Notamacropus eugenii: one gene and its partner. The protein of the gene in region 1 interacts with the protein of each later gene in a pairwise test. Links are inferred from orthologs where the notes say so. Each region holds a gene or a part of one and is shown in the gene's direction. Other genes may lie near its edges.

Region 1 (7,408 bases):
CACAATTTTTTACTTTGTTTATAGTGAACTTTATTTTAATAAAACAACACGCTGGAATAGTAATGCCATAATGCATTTTGCATGCTGCTGTTTTCTAGAAGCTGTGAGTATTTCATCTCACATGTACCTCCTAGTATCCAAAAATGAAGCTGCTTTTTCTTTATATTATCAGAATGAAAAAGCATCCCTGCTTTTTTTAAAGCATACAAGTCCAAATCGGCCCCCACGTGTAGTATTTGGAAATGGTTTCCTCTTTATTAAGGAAGGTTAACAGAAAATTCCAAGAAGTATCAGACTTCACAGGTGCCTTGGCGCTTTATCCCAGCTAACACAGTGAAACAACTTTACTATGAGAGCTGGCATCCATACACATTCTAGTAAATTATCCATGTATGACCTCTAACAAAATGGTCCCTTCAACATTTGAGGTAACACCATAAAAACAAGAAATGTTTTGTTTTCAGAAACATTAAACTGTGACTTCAAATATATATTGACATTTACTGCATTTGGTTTGATTTCTTCATGGAATTTATAAATGGCTTTGCAGCTTTAGATTGCTATAAGAATATTCACCAGTATCTTCAAGACATGCACAGTTTAAAGAGATAGTGGCATTGTAGCAGATCAACTAGAGCTGTAGGTTTCATGTTCATAATAAGACAAAGATTAAGCAGCTATGAAGTCATTATTATACTTAGTAATAGACAAAATAGCTATGGAAAACAAGGTGGTTTGGGTTTCTTTTTAATGATTCAGGTTGATGACAACCTCCAAGTAGTTATTTTTCTTTTCTCTCAAAGCTTAGCTATTCTCTGTTATGAATGTTGTTCAAGTCATTGGAATTGCCTGGCCATCTTTGTTTTTTTGTTTTGTTTTGGTTTGAGAAATGTTTGCCTGAAAAAGCTCTGGAGGTGTACTAGTTTGTGAAGTACCTATAGCAGTTTCACTGGTCTATTTAATATATTTGTCCCATTGTGTTCATGATTAGTTCTTATGCAGCTTTCTTGATGGTTAGGTTATTTGGATGACAGTATCAAGAGTCTCATAGTTTTCCTTTCTGTGTGAGACTGAGAGTTTAGGTAGAACTTTGAATCTACTATCACAATCCGTCTTAAATTCTTTATTAGGTTCCAGATGCCAAAGTTTAAGGCTGAAATTTAAGATAAAGTCATCTAGCACTCCAATTAACCCTCTCTCTTCACCTTCTTGTTATACTCTAAATGGTTTTCCAGTGTTGTGACCTGCATTGTAGGAGTTTTCTCCAGTGTTTGGTTGGTCTAATCTGTAAAATGTTAAGGAAAGAGCCATTTAAAATTTCTGATCAGGGCAGTGTGAGTACAGCCAAATATTAGAGTATTAAGTGCAATCTTAAGTCCCCTCTTAAGTTACAGGCAATACTTTAATCCTGAAAAATCTTCCCTCTTCTGTTCTCAGCAATTACTTTTGAAGGTTGCTTATTTGAGTAGCACCCAAACAAAAGGAGCTGGTTCCTTTTCTGTGCTCTTGGCAGTTCTTCCCTCCTTTTAGGACACATAAACTATGATTCAGCCAATTTCTTTAAGCCTAACTGAACTGCTCATTCAAAAGAAAATGGCAAATTATTTACTATTATCACCCTTGAATTTTTTTTTATGTGAAATTAGATGAATGTCAAAATCAGTGACCTTCCATTTCTCACTTGGCTTACATATCAATAAAAGTGAATTAGGATATTTTATTTTCCTTAGACTTTAGAGTTAGGATATTGCTAATATAACATTCAGTGAAAGACTGGCTTATGCTTTGATGTTTCTAGTTAGAACAAAATAGGGTAGCTTATCTAGATATGGTAAAAAAAAAAAAATTTTTTTTGATATGATGGAAAAGAAATTTACCATACTATGAAGTTGTGTGGGTTTTGTTGCACTTTTCCTGCTCCTTATAACCTGTATTGGGAATAGCAACATTTCAACTTCATTAACAAAAAGTGCAGGACACTTGGCCCTGGCCAAGAGAATCTCTCATTTAAAAGGGTAGATTGTAAAACAAGCAGACTGTAGATCAATTGGTTTTCCATACTCAATTGTGTGGGTTTATTAAGGAAAAACTGTTGTACTAATAATGTAAAAATGTAATGCAGTTGTTAGATGTATTTTCAAAAGTGGTAAATAGTAAAGAATTGCATGTTGCTCAGAAATTCAGAGTTGTGGAAAGATGCTTTGTTTTTATTTTTTAAAAAAACAAGCTGATTTAAATATAAGCATATTTTTACAACATTCAAACCTCAGATGTTTTGTTCAGCTCAAGAAGTTATACCCCTTGTCCATTACTATTTTCTGGTGTGAAACACTTTTCTTTTCTCTACCACTTTTAGTGGTAATCACAGTATGTGACATGAATAATTTCTCCATTTACCATTATTGTGAGGGCAAATAATTTAAAATGAATCTTCCTTTTTCCTAACAGAAATGTATAAAAGGAAGTGGCTGCTCTGTACAAAGATTGTATTGCCTCCCCAATGGATGTAATTTTGTGAGTGTATCACACACACCAGCTTCCTAAAAATGTTTATAATGCATCTTTTGAAAAAAAAATTTACAAGCAAACTTTGTGCATACATTGCATCAACATGGCAAAGATTGTATAAAATACCTTTTTCAAGAAATAAAGGTTTAAACTCAACTGGGCTAATGTTAAATTCTGAATTTATTGATCAAAGCAGACTACTAAAAATACTTCTAGCCCTAACCTAAATATTAAAGTCTTCATCGAACTTCCTACAGCTCTATGATGTGTACAATTTGTTTATTACCCCCAACAAAGTTTTCTTAATTCTTAAAATGTTTCAAAGTACATGTTGTATCCAAACTGGATAAAAGAATTATCACTTCAAAAAAATTTCAGTATGGTTGCAAAATTGAAAAACCTTTAAATCAAATACAGGGACGTTGTGGTTTGGAGCCATGGTTCCAATTGCTTCATTTGGAGAATGTTTTTTTTTTAAATCCAACCATACTAGTGTCAAAATAAAGATAATTATAAATTTGCTCAAAAGTTGGATGAGCTTATCAGTTTAATTTGTAAAGTCTGCTGGTAGGTGTGTTTATCCTGTTATGATTTGGTACTTTTCAAAGTAAAAAATGAATACAACCTCTCATCTGTTTATATTACAAAAGCTGAAAAAAGGAGTGGGGAAAGAATCTATAAGTATGAATGTTTATAAGTGAAACATTTAGAGAACTGAAGATCTAATCCATTTTTTTCTGTTTATAATTGGAACATTATTAACACTGTTAACTCTGTAGGGTTTTTTTTCCCCTTTCCTTAAAAAAATTCCAAAACTGCTCATGGGAAACTTCAGTGGTAAAGGTGGGGAAAACTTAGTGGAAAACTCAGACAACCTTACCTATATAACTGTTAGGCTGTGAATATGGAACAAGTGCACAGGAAAGTTCTACAATACAGATCATATTCCATATAGTACCTAAAAATTCTATTATCTTACCATAGGTACTTTACCACCTGACCTAAAGCATTTTTTTTTCCTTAGGGCTGGATTTTCAAAATAAAAATATGTTCCTGCAATTCTGTGGGAGACAGTATTTTTCACATAAATTATTCCCCTTTATCCTCAAGACCTTTTTTGAGGAATTTAACTAGTTGAGGGTATTCCACCTTACCTATTCAACTTCAATACTTCAGTCAGTCTTGAGTTCTTCCCATCCCTCAAAGATATTTTATCATCTAAACTTTTCCTTTCACTCCTTACCCTTCAAAAAACAAAAGAGCTCTTCAGCGTTTCTTTAACATTGAATACCAGTCCTGCTTGGAGTGATCTGTAACCACCATACCGTATATGACTCATCTTGCCTTCAGAAGTAAAGCAACAGTTGAGTCTTTGGGAGATTCTGATGTAAAGCCACAAGAAGTTCACGCTTTAGCTGTCCAGTTTTAAAGGGCATGCCGACTGTTGCTAGGCAGTTTCTAAAATAAAAATGGAAGGGGCAGCCATGTGGCCCAGCGGATGCAGCACTGGGCGTGCAATCGGGGAGACGGGTTCACACACCGGCTTTGCACCTAGCCTGTGGTAACGAGGATGCAACGTTTACAAAGCCCTTTCCAACTCCAAGGCCGCTGCCTAAGTGACCCCGCTGCTTTTAGATCTCTGTCCAGTCAGGCCTTTGGCGCCGCTGGAGACGGCTGTGCGGGCCGAGTGACCCCAGAACGCGGCGGGGGGAGGGGTGGCTCCGGACCAAGCCCAGGAAACGCTGGCACAAGCTCGCTTGTGCGCATCACAGTGGGCGGCGGGCGGGGGTCAGCACGGTAACGTGGTTTGCCCAGGACCACACCGCTGGTGATCTCGGGTCCTCCCGATTGGGACTACTCAGCTGCCCCAGCCGCATAAAACTCAAACACCAGGCCCTCCCCTCCCTAAACGTATGGCCATTCTGTTTTCATTCGTGGACTTCTACAAAATGGGGATGAAATATAATGGGAAAGCTCCCGTCTGCTAAGAGCTGCTGCCAGCTGGAGCGCCTCGTCATTTTACCGAGAAGATGGTCCTAGGAAGAGAAAATTCTGCGCCTGCGTCGCGCTCCACGCGCACGCGCAGACGCGCTCGAATCTCTTCCGTACCTGTGACAGTTGAACCGCTTCCGAACCTGTAATGGGGAGGGGAGGAGAGGGAGGGCTTAGAAGGGATCCAAGGGTTGATTGGCCAACCCACACATCTCCCCGCCCCTCAACCCAGGCCTTTCTTTATATCTTTCTCAGCCTCGTTTTGAAAACATGCACCGATTCGTGGTTGGTTGGTATGAACTTCAGCTTCGCCTGAATTCTACCAATGAGAAGACAGGCTCGCAAGACCTGTCGGGAAAGGGAACCGGCCTATAAAAGGACTTGAGGAGAAAGGCCTTCTCTGTTAAGGATCCTGCGCAAGGTTGTTGGCGTAGCGTTGTTATTTTGTATGTACAGATCCCGAGGCGGTGGCCGGTTATCCTGAGAGGTGCTACAGCGACCATGGCCGAGGGGGACAATCGCAGCACCAACCTGCTGGTGAGTAGCCCGGAAGCCCGTAGCCAACACAGGTCTCAGACCTGCTTCCCCTGGGTTACTTAGGTGCCGCGGCCAATCTGGTAGCCTGGCCGCCCCAGGTCGAGGCTCGCGAGCCGAAGTAGGGTCTTCATCCCTGTCCTCCCGGCTCCGCTGCTAATGCTTAAGTACCGTTGTTTGGGCCTCGAGGGGTTTGGCTGCCTAACGATCCTTCCTGAGTGGAGCCTGCGCGGGGGAGGAGGGAGGGGGGCAGGGGGGGGCAGGACGGGCCGAAGGCCTTGGTCTAGTCGTCGGAAGAAGAGGTGGATGGATAGATGGATGTGAGCAAGACGAAGAAGCGAATCCAACTTGACCCTGCTGTGCTGGAGCTTGGTCAGGCCCTTTACCCTAATCCTCAGTGTTCTCCTCCCCCGCTTCCGCTCCCTTCCGGCGAAAACATCGAGGTGCTGGGCAGAAGTAGAATTTTCCTTGTTTTCGAATGAGTTCATCTGAAGGTGAAGGCTTCTTGCTGCCCAGAATGGGTGGGGAAAGCTGGAATGGACCGGTGACAGCAGATTACTTAACGCGTGATTTTTGGAAGAGCGGCGGAATGCTTGTCATTTGACTGGGATTTGGGTGTCAGACATTCCCGGGCTCTCGGAGCTGGAAAAGGGTCTTCGAGATTATCCGGGCCAACACCTCTTTAGAAATGAGAAATGCTCAGATCTGGCGCTGATGGCTTAGAAAACCTGGGTGTTCTTTCCTCCGTGTGCCCTGGAAGCTCGGTTCATTTAAATGAAAAGTTTGGAGTTTGGCATAGTCATCTCATGGAGGTCATGAAATAGATAAGGCCTGGTAGAATGTTAGGAAGGTAGCAGTTTTAAGATCTAGAGGTAGAAGGGAGCTTCTTAGAGAGCATCGCATTGGCCCCTTCATTTTGCAGGTGAGGAAAATGAATCTCTATAAAGTACAATGACTTGCATGTTTTAAGATAAAGAAATACTAGAGTATTTCTCATATGATTAATTCTAAGGGATTTTTAGAAACAACTGGATTTCACATTAGTTTTTAGACTGCAAACAATTTTTTAGCTGTATTATTCATTTTTCTTATGTTGACCCTGCTACTTCTTCTGTTTTTTGCTTATTCAAGAGCTTCACTTTGAGACAATTTGAGTTCCTCAAATTCTCCCACAAGCTACAAGGAGAGTTGTATTGAGTTTAAGATGGAACATCCCAATTTGATGAAATCAGGCTTCATCTCTTTTATATGTTAATGCAATATATCTCTGTTTCAAGTGATGTTAAAATCTAGTGGTCTCTTGTTACAAGAAAGTTATTTTGAAAATTGAAGGTTGTCTGGAAAATCTTAAAAAATTGAAAGACATCTTAAGAGACCCTCTTAGTCCAAGAAAGATGTAAATCCCTTTTATTAACCTTATTTTATGCGTTTACTAAAATGGTGATTTTTGTTTTGAAAACTACTGGGGCCTGAACCTAGAATTAATAATCCTTTGATAAGGTTACACTAAATAAAAATTTAACCTTTCAACCTAATGACTTTATTAATGTTTTGATGTCTTTTTTCTTTATATCACCTATATTTCCCAGTCCATCCTTTTACCATCTTCCCCCTAGAGAGTGACCTCTTATAACAAAGAAGAAAAAGCAGTTCAACAAAACTAATCAATACATCAGAAATGTCTGACATCATATGCAGTGTACCACACCTAGGTGTCTTCTGTCTTTGGGTCTAAGCTTGGTCGTTATCATTTTACAGTAGTTAGGTTTGCTTGTTTTCTTGTTTTTCTCATGAACATTGGTTGCAGTCATTGTTTACTTTATACCATTCTGCTTATTATTTCCTTTACTTAGAGTTTGTAAGTCTTCTCATGCTTTTATTTATTGATAGCATTTTCATTATTTCTTTTGGCACAGTATTATTTCCTCACATTGATGTGCCACAACTTGTTTAGTCAGTTCCAGTTGATGGAAATAGAATTTATTTTCCACTCTGTGCTTGTACAAAAAAGTTCTGCTATAAATATTTTGGCATGTTGGGGGAGGGGGTCTATCACTGACTTTTAGGTGACCCCTGTAACTTTTTTAAAAATTAGAATTATTGGCTAGTTTCAGCTGAGAATGTGTTATGAACATTGTAGCACCATAAAAGAATTTAGCTTTCAGATAGCCAGGACTACTGTTAAAAATATTGTAATAACTGTTTAAAGTATTTCTTTATGCAGGCTGCAGAAACTGCCAGCCTGGAAGAACAGTTACAAGGATGGGGAGAAGTGACGCTAATAACTGATAAACTCCTTCGGTGGGAAAGGGCCTGGTTTCCGCCTGCAGTGGTTGGTGTTGTTTCTTTGGTATTCCTGTAAGTGAGCTTTGAA
Region 2 (7,701 bases), on another chromosome or scaffold:
CAGTGTTCTAGGCCTTTGCTCTGCCCCATGTTCGTACTGCCCCAGAGAGAGGCAAGATCCCCTGGCAGGGAGGAGGTTGTGTGTCTGCGGGTCTCTGGTAGTTTGCTTTGCCTTACTCATTTCTAAGTGCAATAAAAGGAGTGTAGGACTTCACCTGTGACTCTGGTGGACCCTTCTCTGGGACCCTTCTGGGGGAATGGGGTAGGCACATCCAGAGCCAACTGAGTTGAAGCATGGACCCTGGGTTTCCAAAAGAGAGTTACTTCTGGCCATGATCAAGCCTCCTTTGTCTCCAGCAAATGTCCCATTGCCGACACTTGACCCACTTTCAGCAGCCTCCTAGTTATGGGTCCCCTGGATGGACCAGTAGGACATTGCAGTCAGTCCTTTGTGTGTCGGCTGCACGGGGAAAATGTCAGTGTTGCCCTTGTCATTCTCTTGCTGTTGGCTGTATTTGTGCTTCAGCAACAGTTTTCTTCTCTTCCTTCATCTGGAAGGTGGAGTCTAGATATCTGTCCTCTCTGGGAAAAGACTGACACTCAGAGCTAATGAATGTTTACACAGTTGTAGTCAGGAAAGGCACAAAAGAGAAAGTCCTTCAAATACCAGTCTCGCCAGCTTCTAAATGAGATCAATGCACAAAACTTGAGGTCCTCCTGCGTTTTTGTTCCCTTCCTGCCTCCTTGTCTGCATCCCCCGCCTCCCATTTTAACCCACGGTGAAAGCATCCAGACCTGGGCTGGAGAATCCTGTAGGGATCTGCCTGGATCTTGTAGTTCTGAACATCAAGGGAGGCAGGGCTCAAACCCCAACCTCCCCTCCCCCCCCATGATGGTGCTGCTGATAGGCATTGGCTCCTCCAAGACACTCCTGCCCCCACCTCTTTCTGCCCAGCCCTGCTAGCTAGCTCTTGGAGGGGCCCATCATCATCGTGGGAGGCTCGGGCTGGTGGTGTTATGCCTGAGGATGCACTCTTTGGCCCCAGATGTGCTGCTGCTATCAGACTTCCAGCACTGCAGTCCTACAAAACCATCCGTGGTTAGGATCACTCCAGGACTGGGTGCTGGGCTCTGGCATTTCAATGGAAGGGAGGTGACCAGTGATAGTTTTTATCTCTGGCACCCATGCACCTTCCTGGGTTCTTAACTGTCCCTGCTGGGACCCCACGACATGTTTTCGATTGGTTCCTAGCTATTCCTTTTACAAAAAACCACTTTGTAGAATTAACTAGATTACCTTGTTGTTTCTTTAATGTGAGTTTGTGCCTTTTTGTCTCCTAATCTTCCAATACCGGTATATTGGGGAAAAAAGTCTAATAAAGTCATAGACACAGCTCTCTGGAGTCCGGATTGTTGGTGTCCGCACACGGAGCTCCCTGCAAATGTTCTGCAGATGCAACATCCCGAATTACGCTGCTACTGTATCATAGCCCCTAGCGTGCAAAGGTTCTTGTAAAATCTATGCGCATGTGTTTCCATTGACTGACATGATCAACTCCCATGTTTATTTTCGATTCTGACCCTACCCAGATGTAGTGGCTTGTGATTCTTGGGGCGGCCCTTTACTGCTCCACCTTGGCGAAGGAGTCGGTGATGTGGAGGCACCCTGCTGCGAGGCTCCATAGAACAGCCCCTCCTTGATTGTAGTTTTCACACTTTGGGCTAGGTAGGGTGTAAGGAGAAGGCGAAGGCTACGATTATTTCAGTAGCTCGTTTAGTTTCTGTGATGCCCAGCTTTCTCATTTGCAGGGCGGGAAAAGTGAGGGCTCTCGGTGGGCAGGAAGAGCGGGAAATCAGGGGCAGCTGGGGTGGGCTCTAGGCGGACGAGCGCCCTGGGCCCGGGGCTGGGCCAGCGGAATGCACGGGCACCGACAGTCACGGCCTGAAGCTACCTGGCAGTACCGCTCCCAGGCTCGCGGGGGCGGCCCAGGCCGAGGTTGAGCAGCCGGAAGTTGCCTCTCTCACCCCCGGCTCCTCTCACGCTTGAACGCGAGGCTCGCGAAGCATGCTGGGAACTGTAGTCCAGGGCGGGGGAGAGAAGCTCGACGTTCTGGGCCCGGGGGAGTCGGGTCCCGCGCCGGGAGAACGCTGGCGGTGGCTGTGTTGCGTCGTATCTAGGTGACAAGCAAAGGTCCGCCCCCTTTCCCCCTTCCCCTCCCTCTCCCCCACCCCGCCCCAGTCCCCTTCCCTTTTCCCCAAGTCCCGTCTCGGCCCCTGGTTTTGCGCACTCCTGGGAGCTCCGCCCCCTTCCTCGTCTGCACCCACCCAGGAGTCTCGGTACGCCCAAGACCCGCCTCTTACGGAAGCCGAAGAGGAAGGGAAACAAACAACAGGCGAGAGAGACCGGGAGAGAGACGCCCTCAGGGACCCGCCGCCCACCCGCCAGCCTGCGGGCCTGCGAGGCCCGGCGGCTGGGCCCGGCGAGGGGAGGGGGGCGTGGGAGTAACGGCCGCGGCGGGGTCCGGCCCGGCCCAGGCTCGGGGAGGCTCCGGCTTCGGCTCATCGTTGGCTCCTTCCCCTGTCACAGAGCCCTGGGCCGCGGAGGCCATGGACCGGCCCGTCAAAAAGATGAGGCACCTCAGGAGGCTCAGGTGAGGGCGGGGGCGGGGGCGCGGCGGCCTCCCCTCCCCCCGGGTTGGCCAGCGGCTGAATTAATCCTGACTAATCCTCGCTCCCTCCCCTCCCTCTCCTGCTCCCTCTCCCCTCCTCCCCCCTCCCGTTTCCCTCTTCTCCCCCCTTTCCCCTCCCCCTCCTTTCTCAGCCACCCTGAGAGGTAGGCACCAAGATCCCATTTTACAGATGGGGAAACTGAGGGCCCGGCCATTCCCTCCCCCTGACACACACGCACACGCACAGCTGTCGAGGGTCCGAGGCCGGATCGGCTGCTGTCTTTGCATCTTTCCCGACCTTCCCCTGTGCGGGCCCTAGAGGTCCCCGGACCCCCCTCTGGTGTCCTCCGGGGTTGCTCTCCAAAGCTCCGAGAATTAGTGGATTCTAGAAGGCTCGGTGTCAGCCCCGAAGTGGAACGTCGCGGGGAGGGCTTCCCGACTTTTGGGGCCCGGGCATCCCCGATCCCGCGGGGCTCCATCACGGAGGGCCGTTGTGAGCGAGCCGAGCCAGGTGTAGACGGAGAGTGGCCCTGACCCCCCAGGCCGGGAAATCGAGGCCCGAAGGCCCCCCTGGGAGGAGAGCCCTGAAAGGCAGCCCGCCTGGGTTCCCCAAATAATGGGGCCGGAGAAAGAGTGAAGGCTGGTGTCCCTGCCCCCGGGGTGGACGCCAGGGGGAGATCTTCAGCCAGCGACCCAAGTCCAGCATTCGCTGACCATTGGGGAAGCTCTTTTACCGAGAAAAGGAGGGTGCCCCCGGGCACCAGAGGTTTGTCAGAGGTGCCAGCCATCGGACAAAATTTGCTTAAAAGGCTGAATTCAGGAGAGCTGATGTTTGGGGCGCAACCAGGCAGGCCGTGTCCTTTCTCCCCTTTTCCCCTTTTTCCCCCTTCCCTCCCCAGACTACTCTGCAGCCTGAAAACTGGTACCTTTCTGGGCCCACTGACCCTCCTGTCCTTTCTGCCTCAGCCAGGCCTGCTTTCTGAGCCTCCTGGTGATGACTCATCTTACAGTATGAAGACCCTTTTTTAACATCAAAATTGTTTAAACACTCCCACATGGTAGTGGTTATGCTGTTAGCAGCCATTGGTTGAGAAAATACATGACAAAAACCTACTATGAATTCAACAATACTTTTTAATAATAAATTTTTACATTATTAATCCCAGCAGCTTCAACAAATATTTGACAAAGTAGTACACGTATGTATGCGCAATACATGTATTCAGTCTGTAGAAGGTACATTTATGGATTTGCACGTGAATTCAGGTACCCTTTGCAATAACTCTTTGGTCTTTGGCCCGTGGATTGGACTTGGAATCAGAAAGTTACCTTGGTACAAGTCCCCTCTTCTGCCATTTCCTGGCTGTATGGCATTCCTGCCCTGACTCTGGGGCAAGGTATTTAACCTCTGCCTGCGCCCAGTTTTCCTTAGCTGCAAATTGTCAATAACCACAGACCTGTGAGGAAAAACTTGTAAACTGGGAAGCACCAATATACGTGAACTGCTGTCGTCCCTCCAGGAGACTTGTTTGTCCTAGCTGCCTTGTGGCCCAGCTAGCCTAGGATGGGGCTCAGTCCCATATCCCATGACAGCTTTGGGGTGTGCTTCTCCTGACGCCCTCCTTCCCTTATGCCAGGTTTCTTCTAAGCCTCACAGGAGGGAACCCCCAAATCCCCTAGGATTGAGGGTGGACTCCATTTTTCTTCCTGGGATATATGGGGGATGCTGTAGGACCCAAGAGGTGACATTACCCAGAAGAGGGAAAGAGTAGAAAGTTCTTTCACTTGACTCTTAGAGAAAATTCCAGATATACCAGGAAGTGATCACATGTTTCTCCTTAGAGTTTTTAAAGACTTAGAAGGATTGACTATTAAGTCTCTTAAGAGAATGAATGCCTTCTTTATAATTTTCAGTCTCTCTGAACTTTCCCTGAGTTAGGAAAGCCCAAGGCTTTACCCCACCAAGTGGAAGCTGACCCTCAGGATTTCCCTGGGGATCTTGGTTCCTGTTGGCCCTCAGGGGCTTGTGGTGGCTTGTTAGTGCCTGCTGTGTGGTCAGGTAATTGGTTAGGCTTATGGAGAGAGAATATAGCTCTTCATCTTTGCCTGACTGGGAGACCTCGGTGTTGTCCCGGGACCGCTCTGTCAGCGTGAGCAGCACCAGCTCTGTGGGTCACACGGCCCTCCGGCAGCGAATGGTGCAGCTTCTGGCCTGTGTGGAGGACATCAGCTCAGATGAGGAGATCCAGGAGGACATGGCTCGCATGCTGGATAAGGCTTTCCTGCTCTGGGGGAAAAGGCTGAAGGACAAATATCTGCAGTTTAGGTCTCATTTTTCTCCCAATCAGATGTAAAATCTTCCCATTTCTAATTCTATCCTCTTAACAGTTTCATTCACCTAGAAAGACAGTTCCTTGGAGGCTGGGACCTCCTCCTGTTCCCTGACCTCTCCCTCTCTGTAGCCTCACTGTGCATTCATCTACAGGTTGCATGTCATGACCTGGAATGTGGCGTGTGCATCACCCCCGACCAATGTTGATGACTTGCTCCTACTAGACAGCCAACCTTTGAGCATAGACATGTATGTCATTGGGTAAGTTTCTTTTGGGGATTACTCACCAGATTCATCCTGAAATCACTTAAACAGAACTGATCGATTGGGAATGGGGCTGGGGTAACAGAAGAGGACAACAGAGGAGAGTGAGCCTCCCTAGCTTCCGTGCCCCGTTTGGTCATATGTTCCACCTTCATCTGAAGGCAGGAGCCTTCTTTTGGGGTCCAATTGCATGTCCCTTGCCCTGGGTCAGCTGCAGCAAGGGGAAGAGATTTATAGTGAGCTGAATCAGGATTTTTGGCTTTTACTGGGCTTTGGTAAGGATAGGGTGAAGTTTCAGTGGCGAAGAGAGTGACCACTGGAATGGTCAGTTTACAGGAAGTAAAGTCTGGCATCATCAATTACCTTTCTGAGTTGGCATTTGAAGATCCATGGAGCAAGCTCTTCATGGACGTGCTTTCCCCTCTGGGTTATATAAAGGTAACTTCTGAGTGATCCTGGGATTTGGTTTTGGGTGGGAGGGAAATAGGCATGGAGGGTTAATGTTCTTCACTGGCTTTTCACCTGAGGTCTCCCCTGCTTCCCCTCCAGTCCTTTCAGGTTTTGGTTTGCCTGCTTCCCAGCTAGTTCTGAAATAGGAAGTCAGAAAGATCTGTTCCTAGGAAAGGCCCCGGGAAACTTGTCATACACCACCACCACCTCCCCTTCACTTTGTTCCCCTAGGTAGAGCAGTAGCTCATTGGTTGCTTTAGGCCCATATTTTTCACCTCCTGGCTCCTCTGTTGTCTGGCCCAGACTGAGTAATTTGGTCTTTCAGTCTCCCTGTTGGCAGCCACAAAAATGGCATGCCAGCAACACCAGCCACAGACTTCTCTTTACCCTTCTGAGAGTGGGGACCATTCCATCTCCCTCTGCCCAGGCAGCCTTAGAGCTTGGAGCTGACAGCAAAATTTGGGCTGCTGATCCCCGCCCCACCCTCTTGCACAAGGAGTGAAACCTATGGCCTGAACTTTGTGGACTCTCCCTCTCAGTGTGGGGTATTGTCCAGGGTCATCAGCTATTTCTGTCTTTTCAGCTTGAAAAACACTTCCCTTTCCTCTGGGCATCCTCTGGAAGCCTTTGTCCTCCATAGTGGCTGGAGGAGGCTCTGGCTCTGTCTGGATGACTGCTGACGTCCACCCTAAAGGGGTCTCTGTGTCTCTGGGAGCTGAGTGGGTGGGGAAGTAGATGAAGAAAGGGCTGGGCTTACTGTAGTTGTCTGGTGTTATCAGGCGTCAAAGAGTACTGTTTGAGCAGGACTTGAGACTTCAAGGAACCAGTGGGGCCCCTTGGTGCTTCCTCACCTTCCCTGGGGCCCCTTGGTGCCTTTCCTTACCTTCCCTGGCCTACATCTCTCCTGTTATCTCCTGTTTACTTAAAACTCTAAACTTAGACTTCTCTCAGCACCCTAGAGCTGGTCCTTCCTGCTACGTTAGGCTCTTCAAGGTTGCCAAGGCTTATCTCTGTAGGTACTGGCTAAGTCCAAAGGTCAGTTCGATCCTTTGATTTTAGGAGAATTGGGAGAGTTCTAGGATTAAGCATGAGATCCCCTTGACCCACCTCGTTTTTCTGCCCCCCCAGAGATTCCTTCTGTGACACCACCGCTCCCAGATCTCCTTGCTTATGACCAGTGGGTGGCATTTCAAACTGGGGGTGAATCTGTGCCAAGACCTTCACAGTGGTGCCACAAGGTGAATAGATCTCATGCTCTAGGAGATGGAGCAGGCCCTGGGAGAGGCAGAGGGCAGTATAGGGCTCCTTTTGCTGGAAGGGGAAATTCTCTTGTTGATTTCCTAAGGCCAAACTGAGACCTCCTGGTTCTTCCACTCATTTGTCCTGAGGGTTTCTCTGATCCGTATCAGAACCTGAGAGTGGAGTGGGATTTCAGATTTCAATCCTAGTCCTGCTGTTTTGCCTGTTCGTTCTCTGGATCCCTTCCTTCCCATACAAGTTCCCTAAGAAACACTCAAGGCTAACCCCTTTTTAGTGAAGCCAGTAGCATTGTACCATCTAATAGCCACAGGGTGGAGCCTCTTCTTGCCTTCTCACACCCTGTCCCTAAGCTGGGGTACCTAGGTAAAAGAGCAACATAAGAAAATGACTTCAGCCCCCTGCATTCTGAGCACTGACCCCTGCAGGAGATCGGGAGTGAGCCCAGGTGACCAGGCTCCAATAAGGAACCTGTGGAAGACATCCACCTTGAGGTTACCAGGAGCTTCAGCAGGAATCGGCCCCACATGCCATGGGCAAGTCAGGGCTCCTCCTGAATGTTAGGGCCTACTATGGCCAGATTGCCTTATTTCCCTTCCTCCCTCTTCCTACTAACTTAGCCATTCTCACTGTTCTCTTTACTCATTTTTGTCTCTCAAAACTTAAAACTTTCCCTTGATGTCTCCCTAGGATAATCACTGCCCCGCCCATTTTCAGCATGTCTGTCCCTGCCCTGCCCTAGGTACCTGCAAGGAAGCTTTTGTCCTAGTACACCCACCCATGTCTGCGC

The links. The genes of interacting proteins can lie anywhere in the genome.
Region 2: the proteins of ARL6IP1 (region 1) and INPP5K interact in binary tests that used the Homo sapiens proteins (3 or more experiments, as listed by UniProt). The link is inferred for Notamacropus eugenii from reciprocal best matches to the Homo sapiens genes ARL6IP1 and INPP5K.

What each region holds. Positions count from the first base shown.
Region 1 is NC_092874.1:400,666,551-400,673,958, forward strand, and holds the start of ARL6IP1 (ADP-ribosylation factor-like protein 6-interacting protein 1), read left to right. Parts: upstream 1-4,326; 5' UTR 4,327-4,645; intron 4,646-4,742; exon of another isoform or gene 4,743-4,755; 5' UTR 4,756-5,001; coding exon 5,002-5,037; intron 5,038-7,258; coding exon 7,259-7,392; intron 7,393-7,408. UniProt on the Homo sapiens protein: Positively regulates SLC1A1/EAAC1-mediated glutamate transport by increasing its affinity for glutamate in a PKC activity-dependent manner.
Region 2 is NC_092873.1:39,558,858-39,566,558, reverse strand, and holds the start of INPP5K (inositol polyphosphate 5-phosphatase K), read left to right. Parts: upstream 1-4,668; 5' UTR 4,669-4,683; coding exon 4,684-4,934; intron 4,935-5,093; coding exon 5,094-5,201; intron 5,202-5,533; coding exon 5,534-5,642; intron 5,643-6,782; coding exon of another isoform or gene 6,783-6,892; intron 6,893-7,701. Other genes in the region: uncharacterized protein, read right to left, coding at 1,562-1,661, 1,892-2,502. UniProt on the Homo sapiens protein: Inositol 5-phosphatase which acts on inositol 1,4,5-trisphosphate, inositol 1,3,4,5-tetrakisphosphate, phosphatidylinositol 4,5-bisphosphate and phosphatidylinositol 3,4,5-trisphosphate.